Linked DNA regions of Drosophila melanogaster. The protein of the gene in region 1 purifies or fractionates together with the protein of each later gene. This does not show direct contact. Each region holds a gene or a part of one and is shown in the gene's direction. Other genes may lie near its edges. The genes, in order: Syx16 and Snap29.

What was found.
Region 2: the proteins of Syx16 (region 1) and Snap29 purify together in Drosophila melanogaster (affinity purification with western blotting; 2 studies listed by BioGRID, with this or other methods). This does not show direct contact.

What each region holds. Positions count from the first base shown.
Region 1 is NC_004354.4:20,391,517-20,395,324, reverse strand, and holds Syx16 (syntaxin 16), read left to right. Parts: upstream 1-1,573; 5' UTR 1,574-1,682; coding exon 1,683-1,763; intron 1,764-1,837; coding exon 1,838-1,971; intron 1,972-2,033; coding exon 2,034-2,877; 3' UTR 2,878-2,991; downstream 2,992-3,808. Other genes in the region: HERC2 (HECT and RLD domain containing protein 2), read right to left, coding at 1-445; l(1)G0004 (lethal (1) G0004), read right to left, coding at 3,067-3,789.
Region 2 is NT_033778.4:23,842,879-23,846,813, reverse strand, and holds Snap29 (Synaptosomal-associated protein 29kDa), read left to right. Parts: upstream 1-2,050; 5' UTR 2,051-2,167; coding exon 2,168-2,435; intron 2,436-2,504; coding exon 2,505-3,091; 3' UTR 3,092-3,331; downstream 3,332-3,935. Other genes in the region: CG5554 (uncharacterized protein), read right to left, coding at 225-707, 874-1,048, 1,118-1,279, 1,483-1,655; shu (shutdown), read left to right, coding at 3,620-3,678, 3,736-3,935.

The sequences.
Region 1 (3,808 bases):
GCTGGCAGCAGGAGCACTTGAGCTGCTGAGCGCCGCAGTAGTGCTTGCCATCGTCGCCCAGGTAGGATAGTTGTCCGCGGGCATTTAGGAGCGGCGCGGTAGGCGACGAGACCAGCTCGCAGTCCTGGATCAGATGGTTCCACAGTACGGCGCCGTCGGCGGCGTTGCGCAGGGAGGCGATGAGATCGGCGCGCAGCCACTTGGCGTCCAGAAAGGGCAGCGGGCGCAGGTAGAGATCGGGCGAATGGCTGGGCGGTGCTGCTGATCCGGAACCTGATCCCGATCCAGATCCTGCTGCGGAGCCTGCTCCTGCCGCTGCTCCACTGGCACCTCCACCCCCTCCTACTCCAACTCCAGCGGAGACTGGTGCTGCAGAAGCGGTCTGGCTGGACCCAGCACCCTGGCCACTGGATCCGGCTCCTCCGCTCGCCTGGCGGTTGAACATGTTTGTGTTTTCGTGTTGCCTTCCCTAGTGCTCCACCGCCGAAGTCAGGCTAGAAACGAGCTCGACCACAACCACAACAACGACAATGGCATGGCACAGTTACCCCTTCAAGGGGGGTGTGGTGGTGGGTTGGAGCGCGGGTGGGGGCGGGGGCGAAGGCGGGTCAATGTCGTCACTGGCACACACACTAAGCACACGCACACGCGCGCAAGCACACACACAACTGCAATCGGGCGTCCAGGATCAGGATAATTCGTTGTTATCCTTGTCCGCACTGCTCATTTCGTTGTTCCGCTCGGAGTTAGTTATGACATCCTGACTTTTCCACCCGCACTTGAACTCTCCGTTTTCCGCGCTTGCTGCTTTCGGGTCACAATTGGAAGTGCCAGTTACCAGTACAATGCAATTTGAAATCAAGGAATTATTTTAAAATGAAATAAAATTGTTTGATGGCAATCGATATCAGGGGGAGGTGCAAACTGACTGAGCTATCAAGTAATCGATATCAGGGGGTCGAGCCATCGATATGTTTTGCCTTTCGATAGCTCTTCAGTGTTCTTAAGTCACAGGCTTGTGTCACGGATTAAAACCCAGTACAGTGGAAGCTGGCTATTAGAAAACGTTAAGCCAAACTCATAATGAGTTCCCTAAAATTCTGTAAATTTGTAATTTTTAAACATTAGCCTAAAATGTACTTGATTCTAAAATCATTTACAATATCATTCGGTTATATTACTCTTTCGTAACGCAAAAAAAGAGAACGCACATAACAAATTATTGAATACTTTTATTGTACTATTACGGTCGTTTTATTGCTAAAAGTATTGCATTTCAATTTACGTGACGGTGTGTACAGAATTAACTTTATAAATTGTTGAAACTCAACAAAGCAATACTATATTCTGTAATTTCCGAATATTTCTATTGGAGCTATCCAATCCGTATATTGAAAAAATCACTTTCGCAAATAGGATGTTTAGGAGTATACATATAAAGTACAGATTCTACAGATAATAAGAAAATAATATTTAAAATAAGTATAATTCTCGGACATGTAACGGTGCGTTCAGGCCAGGGTGACCAGTTCGTCGTGGCGACTATCGGTATTCTGGGCGAGCAAGTCAGCGGGCACACTGCGCTGCTGTGTCAAAACGAAACTGGAAAAAATCTGATTGAGTTTTCAGCGGACTTGGATCAATCCTTCCAATCCCCAAGAAATCGGGAGCAGACGGCCAGGATGACGTCGCGCAACCTGACGGAGGTGTTCGTCATCATGCGCAACAATGCGTCCAAGAACCGGAATCACTACGACGATCGGGTGAGTGCGTCTCCGTCTGGGGTCTTCACTGTTATCATCAACTAACATATGTTTTGCGTTTCTCCGTCTTCCAGAGGGGCAGCGATGCGGAGCGCCTTCTAAAGCACTCGGTGCGCGAGGCGGAGGAGGGACTGGAGCTGCAGGACGACTACGGCACGCCGCCCGCCTGGCTGGACAAGTTCGAGGAGGCGCAGTACACCATGTCTAAGTGGGTAAACAAACAGTAGTCCATGCGCAGGGTTCAACTTCACTCCCATCACTCGTTTGCAGGATCAAGCCTAAGCTGGATGAACTGGGCTCCCTGCACGCACGCCACCTCCTGCGACCCGCCTTCGATGATCAGCGGGACGACGAGTGCGACATCGAGGTGCTCAGCCAAATCGTCTCCAAGCTGATCACCTCCACGCACCGGCACATCCAGTGCGTGCGCAGCAGCATCGGCGTGGGCAGCAAGATGGAGCAGTGCCTGACGGTCAACGCGGTACACTGCGCCCTGCTCCAGCTGCAGGAGCTGACGGTGAAGTTCCGTGCCAGCCAGAATGCCTACCTGCTTCAGCTGAACTCCCGCGAGGAGCGCTCGCAGAAGTACTTCGACGACGGCGGCGGCGCTGGCGCTGGAGACGTCTTCACAAACGTGGAGCTGGGCGAGCAGAGCGCCGAGAACTTCGTCGACTCCTTCGACAACTTTCTGCAGCCGCCGGCGGAGGGCAAGTCCGGCAACGGCTATCTGTTCGAGGACGACGAGCAGGCCATCGACGATCACTTCCAAAGGCCGCCGGCCAGCCGGATGACCCAACAGCAGCTGCTGCTCTTCGAGGAGGAGAACACGCGGGTGGCGCAGCACCGCGAGCAGGAGGTGACCAAGATAGTCAAGTCCATCTACGACCTGAACGACATCTTCAAGGACCTGGGCCACATGGTCCAGGAGCAGGGCACTGTGCTCGACCGCATCGACTACAACGTGGAGCAGACGCAGACGCGCGTCTCGGAGGGATTGCGCCAGCTGCACAAGGCGGAAATGTATCAGCGCAAGAACCGCAAGATGTGCGTCATTCTCGTCCTGGCGGCGGTCACATTCTTCATGCTGCTGCTGCTCATCCTGACCAAGCTCTAGTTGCCCACGCGCCTCCAGTGGGCCGACCTCATTCCCGTCATTCGCTGTGTGTGTTTGTGTATATTGTAAATGTTTGAATACATGTTATTATATTTATTATTTATTGCTAATGCTAAAAAAAAAACCGCAACTACTCCCTCTCAAGTCGAACTCCACTCCAGTCCAGTCCACTCCAGTCCGCTCTCCCAATCACATGCGCTCCGAGAGGCGCGAGGCGACTGCCCGCAGGTTGCCATACACCTTGCTGGGCGGCGAGCCGAGGATTAGGTTGCAGACGGCCCGGCGCGCAAGCTGAATGTTCTGGTAGCTGCCCAGGATGTGGATCTTGCTATCGGCTAGCACGATGCGGGTCTTGGTCACGTTCTCGATGGTGAATTTGGTGCGGCCGCCCTTGCCGGCGAGGCGGCCGATGGCGCGAGACTGGTGGTCGCCGCGCAGCGTCTTCACGTCCTTGATTTCGAACGACTCGACGAACAGGTCCTCCAGACGCAGCAGGGCCAGGGCGTCGTCCACCTCGAAGCCGCAGAGAAAGGCGCGCACGAAGTCGGCGCCGCGCTGCAGGTTGGCTATGTCCGGCGTCTCGGGGCCCACACGCAGCTCCACCTGGCGCGCCTTCATGTTGAAGCGGATCTGCAGCTTCATGTGCTCCACCACGGGCGTAAAGATCTTCATCCAGTGCTCCTTGAGCGAGGAGTACCTGTGTGGCGGCACGGATACCTTGCGCAGCTCGCTTCTGGCCCGCTTTGCCTTGGGCGGCGCCGATGCTCGCGAAGATCCCAGCACCTGGCCCTCAATGCCGGTCGCCTCGTCCACCTGCATCTCCACGTCCTGCTGCCCGCCTCCGCTGGCTCCGCGCTTCGTCGCTCTCTTCGCCGGCTCGAATGCGTCTGCTCTGATGTTCTCTGCCTCCATGGTGCAATCTGTTGTGCTT
Region 2 (3,935 bases), on another chromosome or scaffold:
TTTTGCTTTACATAATTATGAAATACATGGGGCGCCGTTTTCTGGCTAGGATTAGAAGGAGGGAAAACAATCGGTTTTGTGCGCGAAGGCAGAGCAGACGGATTATGTCCGCTCGAATGATGCTTGGGTAAGAGGTTGTGTTCCTCTCGATTCAGTGTGTTAGTCTTTTTGTTGCCGCTTCTGATGATCGCTAAGGCTGAAGATCCGCAGGGACCCCGCTGCACCTAATCGCCTTTGCGAGGCTTGCGCTTGCGCACCTGTTCCGTCTTCTCGGGCGCAGCATCGCCGGCCTGCTTGGGCTCCGGCTTCTCTTCCTTTTCCGGCTCGCTGTCGGCCTCCTTCTCTTTAGTGGCCAGATCGCCCACCTGCTCCTCGCTGTCCTCTTCCTCTTCGTCGTCGTCCTCCTGTTCTTCCTCGTCGCTATCGCGTTGCTCGTCATCGTTCTCCTCGGCGTCGCCATCATCCTCGATCTCCTCGGTTGCCAAATCCTCCAGGCCCTCGGTCAGATTGTCCTGGGACTCGGAGAAGCTCTGGCGCTGCGACTTCTTGGGTGGGTAGACAAAGTCCACAAGGCACACGAGCAGCAGCCCCAGGGCAGCGCCCACGAAGATGGTGGCGATGGCGAAGAGGGCGTAGGAGCCCCACGTGGGCAGTCCGTATTCCTCCTGCAGGCGCCCGTTGAAGTCCTTAAAGAGTTTTTGCGTATGCTATTAGTACATGAACCCAACATACAAGACAACAGCAGAGAGCAAAGACCAGAGTAATGAGTGATGGGCGGCAATCTTTTGTGGGTCAACGGGATCAACCCGCTGATAAGCTTCCGCTTATGTCTCATGCAGTGAACCGATGCGATAATGGGCTAGGTGAACGTACCTTCAGAGTGTGCGAAAGCTTGAAGAAGTAGGACAGCACGGACATGTGGGTGGTGTCGGGCTTCTTCCAGGCGGACAGCGGTTCGATGCTCTGCCACTGCTGCTTCTTCACGAAGTAGAGGAGGGCGTCGCCATCACGGGCCCCACGATACTGCCGGAACTCGCCATCTTTTACGCTGGAAATGATTGACGTGGATTACGACGATGTGTATTTCATGGGTTGAAAAGGTCTATGTGGTGCTCACTGGTAGATGGTGGGGAGGGCGGTGACAAAGAAGCGTCCACTCAGCGAGGGCGAGGTTGTCACGTCGATTTTGGCCACCTGCACCTGGACATCCTTGGCCACGCGGGCAAACCGCTCCCAGGTGGGAGCCAGGTTCTTGCAGGCCGGGCACCATGGAGCAAAGCTGTGAATGGAGGGAGAAACATATGTTTAACACAGCTGCCGATGAGTCATCGTCGCCGCAAAGGAATGTCTGGTATTTCGGAGAACGAAAGAACCAGCTTGCCGGCTGGAGAAAGCCGGCGCACCACGCCCCTTTATGTTACGTCAGGGGCAGCGGGGTTTCATGTGGGTAGGGACTACTCAGAGCCACCCTTTCGCACTCACAACTCGATCATCCATTCGCCCTGGAGCATCAGGTGCCAGTTGTCCTCGTCCAACTCGATTAACTTGCCACCTGGCTGCAGTCCTGACTGCGCTGCTGCCGTCGACTGCGCCGTCGCCGCCAGCAGAAGCAGCGCCGCGCATGTCGCGGCCACAAAGTACGATGTGCTATGCATGTGGTGATGTTTTGGTGCTTTGCTCCGCCGATTCGTGTCCTGAAACCTGTGACGTTCGGCTGCGACAGTTTCTTAAATTAAACTAAAGCTTCCGTCTTGGTCAGTTCCAAAAAGTTACAGAAACTGCGACGCCTGCTGGAAAATTGACAGAAGTGCTGGTTCGATATCCATCGGAGATGGCAAGCCGCTTTATTCCCCGCTAGATCATCGGTAGGGGGATTCGGTCGGTATTCGCTCGTTACACGATTTTTTATTTATTAGATCAAGCTTCAAGTTTTCTTACATACAAATTCAATTTTTATCGTATCTTCAAAATCATTTTAATTATAATAACTTATTTTATTGAAGCCTCTGCAATGTCAAGCTATTTATAAGTCGATTGAACTGCATACAAATACTACATTTGTACCATCGCTATTGCAATCGATAACTCCAGACAACAACAAAGAAAATAAAAGTTTACGAAAACATAACAAAATTCGACATTTTGGAAGTTTCCCTCGCCACAAGAAATGGCCCATAACTACCTGCAGCCAGTGCACGATCACTTCGATGACGTGGACAGATTCGAGGACGTGGACGACGACCTATTCCTGCAGAACAAACGGACGGGAGCAGCCAAGCTTCCGCAGCAGAGGAGCACCAATCCCTTCGAGATGGATGACGATGACGAAGAGGAGATAACCTCGTCGCCATCAGTGGCCGCACAGCGACTGGCCTATGCTGAGAAGCGAAGGGCCATTGAGCAGCGAACTCTGGACTCTACCAACAAAAGCTTGGGTAAACATGGGGTCAATTGCCAGCCAATTAAGGGGCGTTATTGATGCGTCTCTCTCCTACAACCCCCAGGTCTGCTCTACGAAACCCAGGAGGTGGGTAAGGCGACGGCCGTGGAGCTGGCCAAGCAGCGGGAGCAACTGGAGAAGACATCACATCAGTTGGACGAGATCAGCTCCACGCTGCGCTTCAGCCAGCGCCATCTGACTGGTCTGAAGAGTGTCTTCGGCGGCCTCAAGAACTACCTTTCGGGCAACAGGGACCAACCACCCACCGCGACTGGTTCGCCCACGGGCAGTCAGTCCTCCCAGGAGGCCAATAGCAACATTAACCAGGGTGCCTGTGGCGGTGCTAGCCCCTCGGCTCCGCTATCACCAGCGGAGCGCTACGACAATCATCCGGTTAGCCAGCTGCGTGGTGATCCCAGCAGCACCTACCAGCCCCAGCGACAGGCGGCCAATCCCTTCCAGGCCCAGATCGATTCCAATCTGGAGGAGATGTGCAGCAACCTGTCGGTGCTGAAGATGCTGGCCACCGATCTGGGTGGCGAAATTGAGTCGCAAAATGAATTGCTGGATAACATGAACTACAAAATTGAGGATGTCGACTTGAAGATTCACAAGCAGAACAAGGACATGAGCAAGCTTCTGAAGAAGTGAACAAGCGAGCATTCGCATACTATTGTATTGATCATTGCTTAGAATAGCCCTCCCTTAATATACAAATCTTAGCCATACCATATCGCACGGTGAGCACTTCACAAGGCCATTAAGAATGCATTCCTCATTATGTTTCCTAGTTTTTTATTGTTACACACACCAAAACAATTCTCTCAATGGAGTGCTCGTAGTTGGAGAGCGATAAGTGTTCAGTTTTAAATAAAGATTCATATAAAAAGCAAGTATATCTGGCCTAGTGTTTCCCCGTCTGGATTGGAATACATTATACATTTTCGGAAGATATCTCGAGTTGCAGTGCTCGCGCCCTAATAAAGATATATAGTTCTTTGTTTGAATTCGATAACTTCCGGACAACAGCGACCAATCGATTCGCTAAAGCTATCAAGCAATCGAATTCCAGTTGATACCATCGCTGGAAAGCTCTTTTCTCAAACGCATCCAAAAGAATAGCGCCAACTCAGCGCATTCCGGAATTCGTTTCGTAAATATTCTGTAAATTTTGCGATAATGGAAGAAAACTTCGAACCGTACACCCCACAGTTGCTCAAGAATCCCTTGTCCTATTCGTGAGTAATAAGATACATATTAAAGGCACTCATGACCACGTGCAACTCATTCTGCAGGGATCTCGTGAAAAAGGGCGTTGAGTTCGAGGTCGACAATTCGCAGCAGAACCATGCCAGGGATCTGGGTCTCGACAGCGACAGCGACAGCGACTACGAGGATGCGCTGGACGTGGACGGCGAGGAGCTACGTTCACCGTGGACATATTCATTCGACGAACTGCGTGCGCTGATGAGCGAGATCGACGAAAACATTTACA